Daphnia pulex: one gene and its partner. The protein of the gene in region 2 purifies or fractionates together with the protein of the main gene of each other region. This does not show direct contact. Links are inferred from orthologs where the notes say so. Each region holds a gene or a part of one and is shown on either strand. Other genes may lie near its edges.

Region 1 (4,038 bases), on a different chromosome or scaffold from region 2:
CTCAACGAAAGCAACCCTTAAAAGCCAATTTGGTAGTGGGCAAATTAAAGAAGACATCCTAGGAACACTTCCAGTCAGAATATAATTCATAAACACATTACGTGAATATTTAGTATTCAAAAATAATGTAAAAAAAAAAAAACGTGTTTTCTTCATAGGAGGATTTGACACTTAAGGGCTATCTCAAGCAAAAGAAAAATGCGGCGGCTCCTGCTCCTTTGACTCAGGCTGAGGAAGAGTTGGCTTTGGTTAAGCGGACTGAAACCAACGCGCACATTGGTTACGACTCAAAGCATCAGACACTCAGTGGCGTAGCCTTCCCTATCTCAGAGGCTGGACTAAAAGCAATGATTGATTTTAAGCACAAAAACCATTCTTACATCCAGCTGAGCATTGGTCAGTAAACATCGCGCATAAGTGTGTTGTGCAATATTTACTTAATTTTATTTTTTTAAGATATGGCGAAAGAAGTTGTCAATCTTGAAAGCACGGACCAGATTAACGTCCACACCTTGGGCAGTCGAGTACCAGATGATCATGGCCGGTATCACCTCTTCCGTTTTCCGCACTCACACGAAGGCGATTTCCTTGAGAGCATAGGTTAGAATATTGTTTTACAAAGATATTAATTTTCAATTGAAATGCCATATCTTTACTTTATTTTCACCAGTTTTTATCTATTCTATGCCTGGCTACGCATGCTCGATTCGTGAGCGGATGCTCTACTCTAGTTGTAAAGGACCTATCACAGATTTGATTGAAAACAAACTTCTCATCACAATCGACAAAAAAGTAAATCAGTGCACTTTTTCATTCATTGCTTTACTTTATTGACTGAGTTTGAATAATCTATAAAACTCCAGATCGAAGTTGAAAAAGGAGATGAGTTAACTGAAGAATTCGTGATGGATGAGTTGCATCCGAAGAAAAATCTTCATCAACCAAAATTTGAGAAACCCAAAGGTCCTCCTGGTAGAGGTGCGCGTCGCCTGACGAGCCAAAAGCCGCAAGAATAACGTATCTGATTGGTATGATTATAAAACAAAATACCCAATATTTTAAAATTTTCTTTTGAAGATAAAGTGTGAAAGCAATGGGCATCGGTTATACGCAAGTGCCTAGTTTATAGATTCGTTTCCTATCCAGTGGTATTTAAGATCATACAAGCTGTTTGTGAAATTTGATGTGTGAAAAAAATAAATGAATAAAACCATACGAAATTTTAATTCAAATCGATTATAAGTGAAAAATAACGGCATTTATCAACGACTAATTTATTTATATATAAAGATCCACTTTTAGAATTACCATTCAGCTGGTTTCCGATTGCAATGCTTTCTGTTCGCTCACTGTATTTGGAGTCTTCTCGTTTTCTTCGTCGCTTTCGTTGGATTCATTCAAGTGTGCTTTCATCGCCACACTCAAATCGTGCATAATTCCCATTGTTCCCAAGGTTTCCTTTCGTTTAGGATTTCCGACTGTAACTTCTCTGTAAAAATCATGTTTTTCCCCTTTAAAAATAATCTTGAGAATGTTTAATGATTAACAGTTTAGTACCTATTTTGGGACTCTTTCCACCCTTTTCTCCAATAACGCAATTCTTCAGTTGTTGTGCCAGTCAACTTCAGTAATCCAACTGTAACGGCACCAGCTACAGTGCCCAAAACTCCTCCTGCAAGACCACCTGCCACCATCGCTTTTGGACCCATTGTGAATTTGTACATGGAACCTGTAAATATCTTTTATTAGATTAAGATATAACTAAACAATATCGCAATCTAATTAGGTCCTACCTGCCAATAGCCCGCCGGCTGAAAATTCAAATATGCTCGACTTATTCCGGTATGTTGAAACAGCTGTGGTAAAAAACCTATTGATTGGATAAATGTAACTTCAACTCCTGATTGTAAAAAAAAATGTATAAAGTACTAACGTGAAACCTCCTGTAAAAAGAGCAAGCCTCCATCCTACTCTCCAGCCTCCTACAGCCATTGCTCTAGTAACATTGAACTGCAGCTTGCTCTGCAATGGATGGGATTTTTATTATTTTAGTACTTTGATTTATTTAACCTTGAAGGCCCACTTACCTTGGCTTCTATATGATTCTCAAATGTGGATGCTTTATTTCTTGTTATGAAATCCTCATGTGCTAACTTTGATGCAGGAATTCCACCAATAATCATTCCTGCTAATAAACCTCCAGCTGCTGCAGCAAAAGTACTGTCAAGTTCAGGACTAACGGAATTGAATTCACTATCCAATGAAAAAGATTAAGTAATTAGTGAAAACGACGAAAACATATTAAATGGAAATACTCGGTTTTAAATATGGCCTTCAGCCGATCCCAACCGGTCTCATTTTCAGCTGTTCTTCGTGCTTCTTCCGCTAGCTTTTGCGCAGATAGGGATGTGGGATCAATAATGTCATTATTTGACAATATTTCCACACCAAAAATGCTAAGTCCTAGCCGAATCGGTATTTTTCTTCTCCACATTTTTTAAAATAATTTGTGTTTAACAAATGCTTTTCTAGCAGACGGTTATCAACTTATCATGGTGTTTTGATTCGTGATTCCATCTGATTCCACCGGTGCAATGCAGAGCGCACGATTATCTGATTATAAAAAATAAACATTTTATATTTCGGAAAAGTCAGCCAAATAAAAAATTTCGTAGCGATCTTCACACAAAATTATGGAACAATAACAAACTATAAATAACATTTTTTACAGCTAAATCATTGGCAACCCCTTCAACATTTCAGCAGAAGACCTGAATGTTTTCAAAACACCATATCCAAATGTCATCGCAGAAAGCATTTTAATAAAAAAGTTATTTTTTTCATAAACTGAACATGGATGTCCTCAGAACTAGTTTGTTGAAGACTTACTCTTCAATTGAAATACATAGACTTAAATGGAACGAAATTCTACAAGGGTTTGAATCGTCACTTAAGGTCATGTCAGGATTAAGTGATCAGCTAGAGTGTGTACTGAAAACGGAACCATGCGAGCTTTCGAGAAAATTTCCCGATTTAAACGGCAGACTGGAACAAATCATCAGGGCCTTAATGGAAGAAGAGATGATTACTATGGTACTTTTGCTGTAAGAAAAATTGCAACGTTTTTATTGTGATTCAAATTAACAATTTCTGATGCATTAGAGAAGAGCTCAACCAGGAAAATCAACGAATAAAAAATATTTGTGAAGTTACATATAAACTTTATGTGGAAGACTTTGATAAAATTCAAGCTGACACAACATTCTATGAAGGAACTTCTCTTTATCCTCCAGTCAGTTTGATGATAGAGTGGATGGATGAGATCAACATGTGCTATGCCAACAGGTACAAACTATCTTGAGTAACGATTGAATTTTGCTGCATTCAACTTACTATTATTTTCTTGTTTTGTGGTTATAGACTGATCAATGCAAAGCATTTGTTGGAGATTTTTAATTATTCGTCCCAATCTGTGACCAACTTGCAGAATATGTTAGATCCCAAGACCAATTTTTCTACAGTTGATGCTATAATGGCAAAAATGTCCATTTTTCTTCTTGAAAAATAATACATTTTTACATTTTTAACATAACATATGACTTCATGCACATACTTTTCATCTCACTCCATGTATATATCATTTCATAAACCTAATTTTTTAATGTATGTCTTCTTCTCTTCTAGTTTTCCGATAGGGACTTCGTCGCATTCACCATATACAAATACCAAGAAATTTTTCACCCGCCTATTTCCCATATCCCACACACCCACTGTGGCGCCTCTCACGAAGTGTCAAGGTCGGGAACACTTCCAGAGAAAAAAGACATGACTATCGAGTATCGATTTACCTGGGAACGATGAGGATCAACGAAGAAATCTACGTATCTAGCCTTTTTTTTTTTTTTTTTAGTACAGACCAAAGAGATAAAAGAGTTACAGACCCTTAGTTTTTCTTCTCATTGTCTCTTAGGATTAGGGTATTTAGGGTTTATTTAATTAATTTTTTTCCCCTTCTCAAAAAGTGGCAGCCCTGGGTAG
Region 2 (3,949 bases):
AATCACGCATAAAATACATTTAAAATTAATTTCAAAAGACATACTGGCGTGAAAAGGGCTTTTCCGGTGAGGTCGTGAGTAACGGCGGAGGACCTTTGTTAGGGTGCTCCACGGGCCCACTTAGCATCGTTTATGATGCTACCAATGATAAAAACATACCTGCTCTCGTAGGATTTATAGCCGGAAGGCCAGGAGTTGAATGGCACCGTCAAACGGTATGACCAATGTTCAATTTGTACATCTTTTTCGAAATAACACAACGTGTTCTACAATTAAAATGTGAATTTAGGCAGCGGAACGTCGTTCGGCAGTTCTGAATAGTCTTTCCGATTGTTTTGGACCATGGGCGTTGCAACCGACGAGCTTCACTGAGAAAATATGGGCCGATGAAGAATACAACGGAGGTTGTCCAGTCTCTTTCGGCGTTCCTGGAATCATGTTCACATTCGGTATTCTCCGTCGTCCGCATGGTCGAATTCACTGGTGCGGGACTGAAACATCTACACACTGGGCTGGATATTTAAGTGGAGCGGTGCAGTCTGGAAGACGTGCAGCTTCCGAAGTGATGAAACTTAGAGGTAAGAACGTCATCGAATTGGAGAAGCTAGCCTTTCGAAAACCATATGCAGACCAAAGTCCACCATATTCTTTACCCAATTTATTGACTCCTGTGATTGTTGTATTTGCCATCGCTACAGCTTTCATCGCTGTTTATTTCCTATAATTTCTAGTTTTTCTTTCCAAAATTTGCAGGAAAAGTGAATTAGATGGAAATGTGTTATTCAAAACTATTATTTTACTGATCATATACATTTATTTACAAATCAGAACCTCCTGTGATTTTATTTAGTGGTTGAGATGGCATATTACTTTCGATAGCTGGTGCAACTTCACCTATTAAAAAAGAGAAAAATTTGTCATGTTGTAAAAAATAAAGCTGAATATAAAATAAGTGGTACCATACCTAAGGGGGAGTTAGTAGCAAACAGGATACTCAAATTAGCTAGGTTTGGATTTGTTTTCTCTAAAAATCGGATCCAAGAAAGAAGGGAATCTTTTGAGCATGTCCCAGTGATAGCTATAGCAAGGATTGTCCTTGAAAAAATTTAAAAAAAAAGTATTTATCTCATAATCAACACATTTGATGAAGATTAATATTTGTTTACCCATCTTCTTGTTCATGAACTGAAGGTTGAACAACGATATCTTTCCGAGTAAGATTTTCTTCCCCAAACATCCACGAACGCAGTTCACTTACATCTTGAACAAATCGAAGAATAAAATTAGAAAACTAGAATGAAGAAAATTGAAACTAAACTGTTTCAGTACACATACCATCATAATCATATTCATTCTGCTGTTTCTGCTCTTCTTCCGTTAACGGAACAGGTTCAGAACGCAAAATAAAGTAATTTATACTGGTTCTTCTTAACCAAATTGTGAAAGCGCCTTCAACGTAGACGGTTTGCTTTTCTTTGAGTTTGGCTAAAAGGTCTCTTTGATTGGCGCTTTGACCATTGACGATCCAAGTATCGTCAATGGCGTCTTGCAACTCACTAGTCTGAAAAATGTTCATCTCTGTAGCTGGATCAACACTACCCATTCTCTGGACAGCAAGTTTTGCTATTTCAAGATTTGAGTTAGGAATCTTTTGGGGGAGTGCCCATGGAGATTGGTTTTTAAACTTAGGCATCCAATAAGCCATCCTTCTAAGTTTTTTGGTGGGAGCTCCATGGCGACCAAAAATATTAAGAACCATTTGGTCAGTTTCTTTATCTGGACAAACACCTAAAAATGAAATAAAAACACATAAAATAATTTAAACTGATTTGAGGCAAAGATATTCTAACCATTGTTTTCCATCTGTTCCAGAACATCTATTATACATTGCTGTTGTTTTGGATAATGCATAAATTCTGCTTGAAACATATTTGTTGGAATATATTTTCCCTTTGGTAATATATCAATGATGTCTTTATATGCTTCCAGGTCACGATGCACACCAAATTCTTCCATTTCCTTCAGAGCAGCATAGATGAATTCCACTTGTGCCCTACGGGGCCCTGGTCTTGTTGTGTAAATTTTTACAGCTTCTAAGAATGTGTCTTTATTTCTATCTCCTTCTGGAACATAAAACATAGAAGGTCTAACAATCAGTTCGTTGGGTTCTTTATTTTTAAAATGAAGACTATTTATATGAATGTGACGGATCTGTAAGCATGGCAGTAGCTTGCAATTATGAACTTGAGGTAAGGCTCTTTGGAGAATTCGATTCAAACTTAAACCAAATTTTACTGCCATTATAATACTAATGGCTATTCAAAGCAGGAAAATAATCAACAAAATTCGAACTATTTGTAAAAATACCAGAAATACATAGAATTGTCACAACAAATTCAAGAGTAGGCGAAAATGGGATTTGTTATTGTTTTTTTCCTCTTTCAACTTTTAACGTCTGCTAAAATTTCAACTTCATTGATGATAGATGGCAGGGATTCATAAAAAAAGTTTCTTATTTGATTAAAAACTTGATTACTTTCGATTATTCATCATCAAATTAGAATAAAATTAAATCGCGGTTATTTCGCTTATAATTATGTTCATTTTGTTTTTAAATTATTCAGTAAAAGTGTTTGTGTGATCCTGCCGCCACCCGCCAGTGGTGCTACTTGCATCTACGAATATACCCTCTATTGGCGCGTTTATCAACGAATAAAGACAACTGCAGACGACGTTTGCTGGCTCATCCAAATATTTCTCTCTTCAATTCAATATCTTTCAATCTAATATTCTTCAAATTTGAATATGGCGTCATCCCTAGAACATTTTGTAAATTCTGTTCGTAATCTCTCTGGCGAAGGTTTGTTTTGAACGACAGTTGTATTTCATAATTTGTGGACACTAAAAATATTCAATTTTCTATGTATCAAACTGATAGGAAGCTGGCGAGAACTATATGATTTTCTCGGCAAGTCGCCCGACGTACTCATGAGGAATTCCGAACATTTAGACACTGTTCTGGATACTCTTGACCCACAACTTCACAGTCTAGGTGTTTTGGCAATTTACATGGTAAAGTTCATGATTCTCAACCAAAATGCAGCTCAAAATCAAGGAATTCAAGTTCCAGAACCCGAAGTGCTCATCAGTCAAGTCAGTCAGTTCATCACAGTTTGCAATGGTGAACAAATTCGCTGTGCTCCTGACTCATGTAAGCTTCTAATATTGCACTCTTACAATTGAATAATTCATAATAAATTGTTCTGTGCAGTCGCTGAGCTGTGTAACCAGTTTACCCAATGCCTAGTGGAACGAGAGACACCTGCCAGGGGTATTGTTCCCCTTACCAAAGCTATTCGGAAAGCCAGAATGAATGAAACACAGCTGACGTCTATCCACGCTAGCCTTCTCCAACTCTGTTTGATGGCACAGAATTTAAAACCTGCCTTGGAGTTTTTGAATGTTGAGATTTCTGAAATCAATTCAGAGGTAAATTGCTTTTTCAGGTTCTAGTGCACTGATTACAGAAAATTCTAATGACAAATGTGTTTGTAGAATGGATATTTTGATGCCAAGCATTTCTTGCTCTACTACTACTATGGGGGAGTTATCAACATGGCTGTCAAAAACTTTGAGCGAGCCCTGTATTCATTCGAAGTAGCTTTGACGACACCATCTTCAGCCGTATCTCACATCATGCTGGAATCGTACAAAAAGTACATTCTCGTCTCACTCATTCTTCATGGAAAGGTATGGATCAAATAGTCGCGCAATGTTCGTTCAATTTCCGATTCACATTGTCATTTGAAACGAGACTAGGTGGCACCTCTTCCCAAATACACATCTCAAGTGGTTAATCGGCTCCTGAAACCCATGAGCGCCATCTACCACGAAATCACGACGGTATTTGCTACCAACAAGCCGACGTCACTGGAACTTGTCCTCCAAA

What was found.
Region 1: the proteins of evolutionarily conserved signaling intermediate in Toll pathway, mitochondrial-like (region 2) and RPII140-upstream gene protein-like purify together in Homo sapiens (affinity purification with mass spectrometry; 3 studies listed by BioGRID and IntAct, counting the BioPlex papers as one, with this or other methods). This does not show direct contact. The link is inferred for Daphnia pulex from reciprocal best matches to the Homo sapiens genes ECSIT and TIMMDC1.

The regions. Positions count from the first base shown.
Region 1 is NC_060022.1:3,771,583-3,775,620, reverse strand, and holds RPII140-upstream gene protein-like, read right to left. Parts: upstream 2,593-4,038; 5' UTR 2,495-2,592; coding exon 2,316-2,494; intron 2,254-2,315; coding exon 2,088-2,253; intron 2,023-2,087; coding exon 1,934-2,022; intron 1,871-1,933; coding exon 1,794-1,870; intron 1,730-1,793; coding exon 1,558-1,729; intron 1,490-1,557; coding exon 1,312-1,489; 3' UTR 1,309-1,311; intron 1,216-1,308; exon of another isoform or gene 1,022-1,215; 3' UTR 1,017-1,021; coding exon of another isoform or gene 864-1,016; 3' UTR 807-863; downstream 1-806. Other genes in the region: twinfilin-like, read left to right, coding at 1-73, 159-396, 457-600, 671-792, 864-1,016.
Region 2 is NC_060018.1:6,887,188-6,891,136, forward strand, and holds evolutionarily conserved signaling intermediate in Toll pathway, mitochondrial-like, read right to left. Parts: upstream 2,455-3,949; 5' UTR 2,302-2,454; coding exon 1,851-2,301; intron 1,789-1,850; coding exon 1,336-1,788; intron 1,261-1,335; coding exon 1,167-1,260; intron 1,096-1,166; coding exon 965-1,095; intron 895-964; coding exon 818-894; 3' UTR 777-817; downstream 1-776. Other genes in the region: probable flavin-containing monoamine oxidase A, read left to right, coding at 39-215, 290-724; COP9 signalosome complex subunit 3-like, read left to right, coding at 2,806-2,860, 2,939-3,211, 3,272-3,489, 3,556-3,750, 3,820-3,949.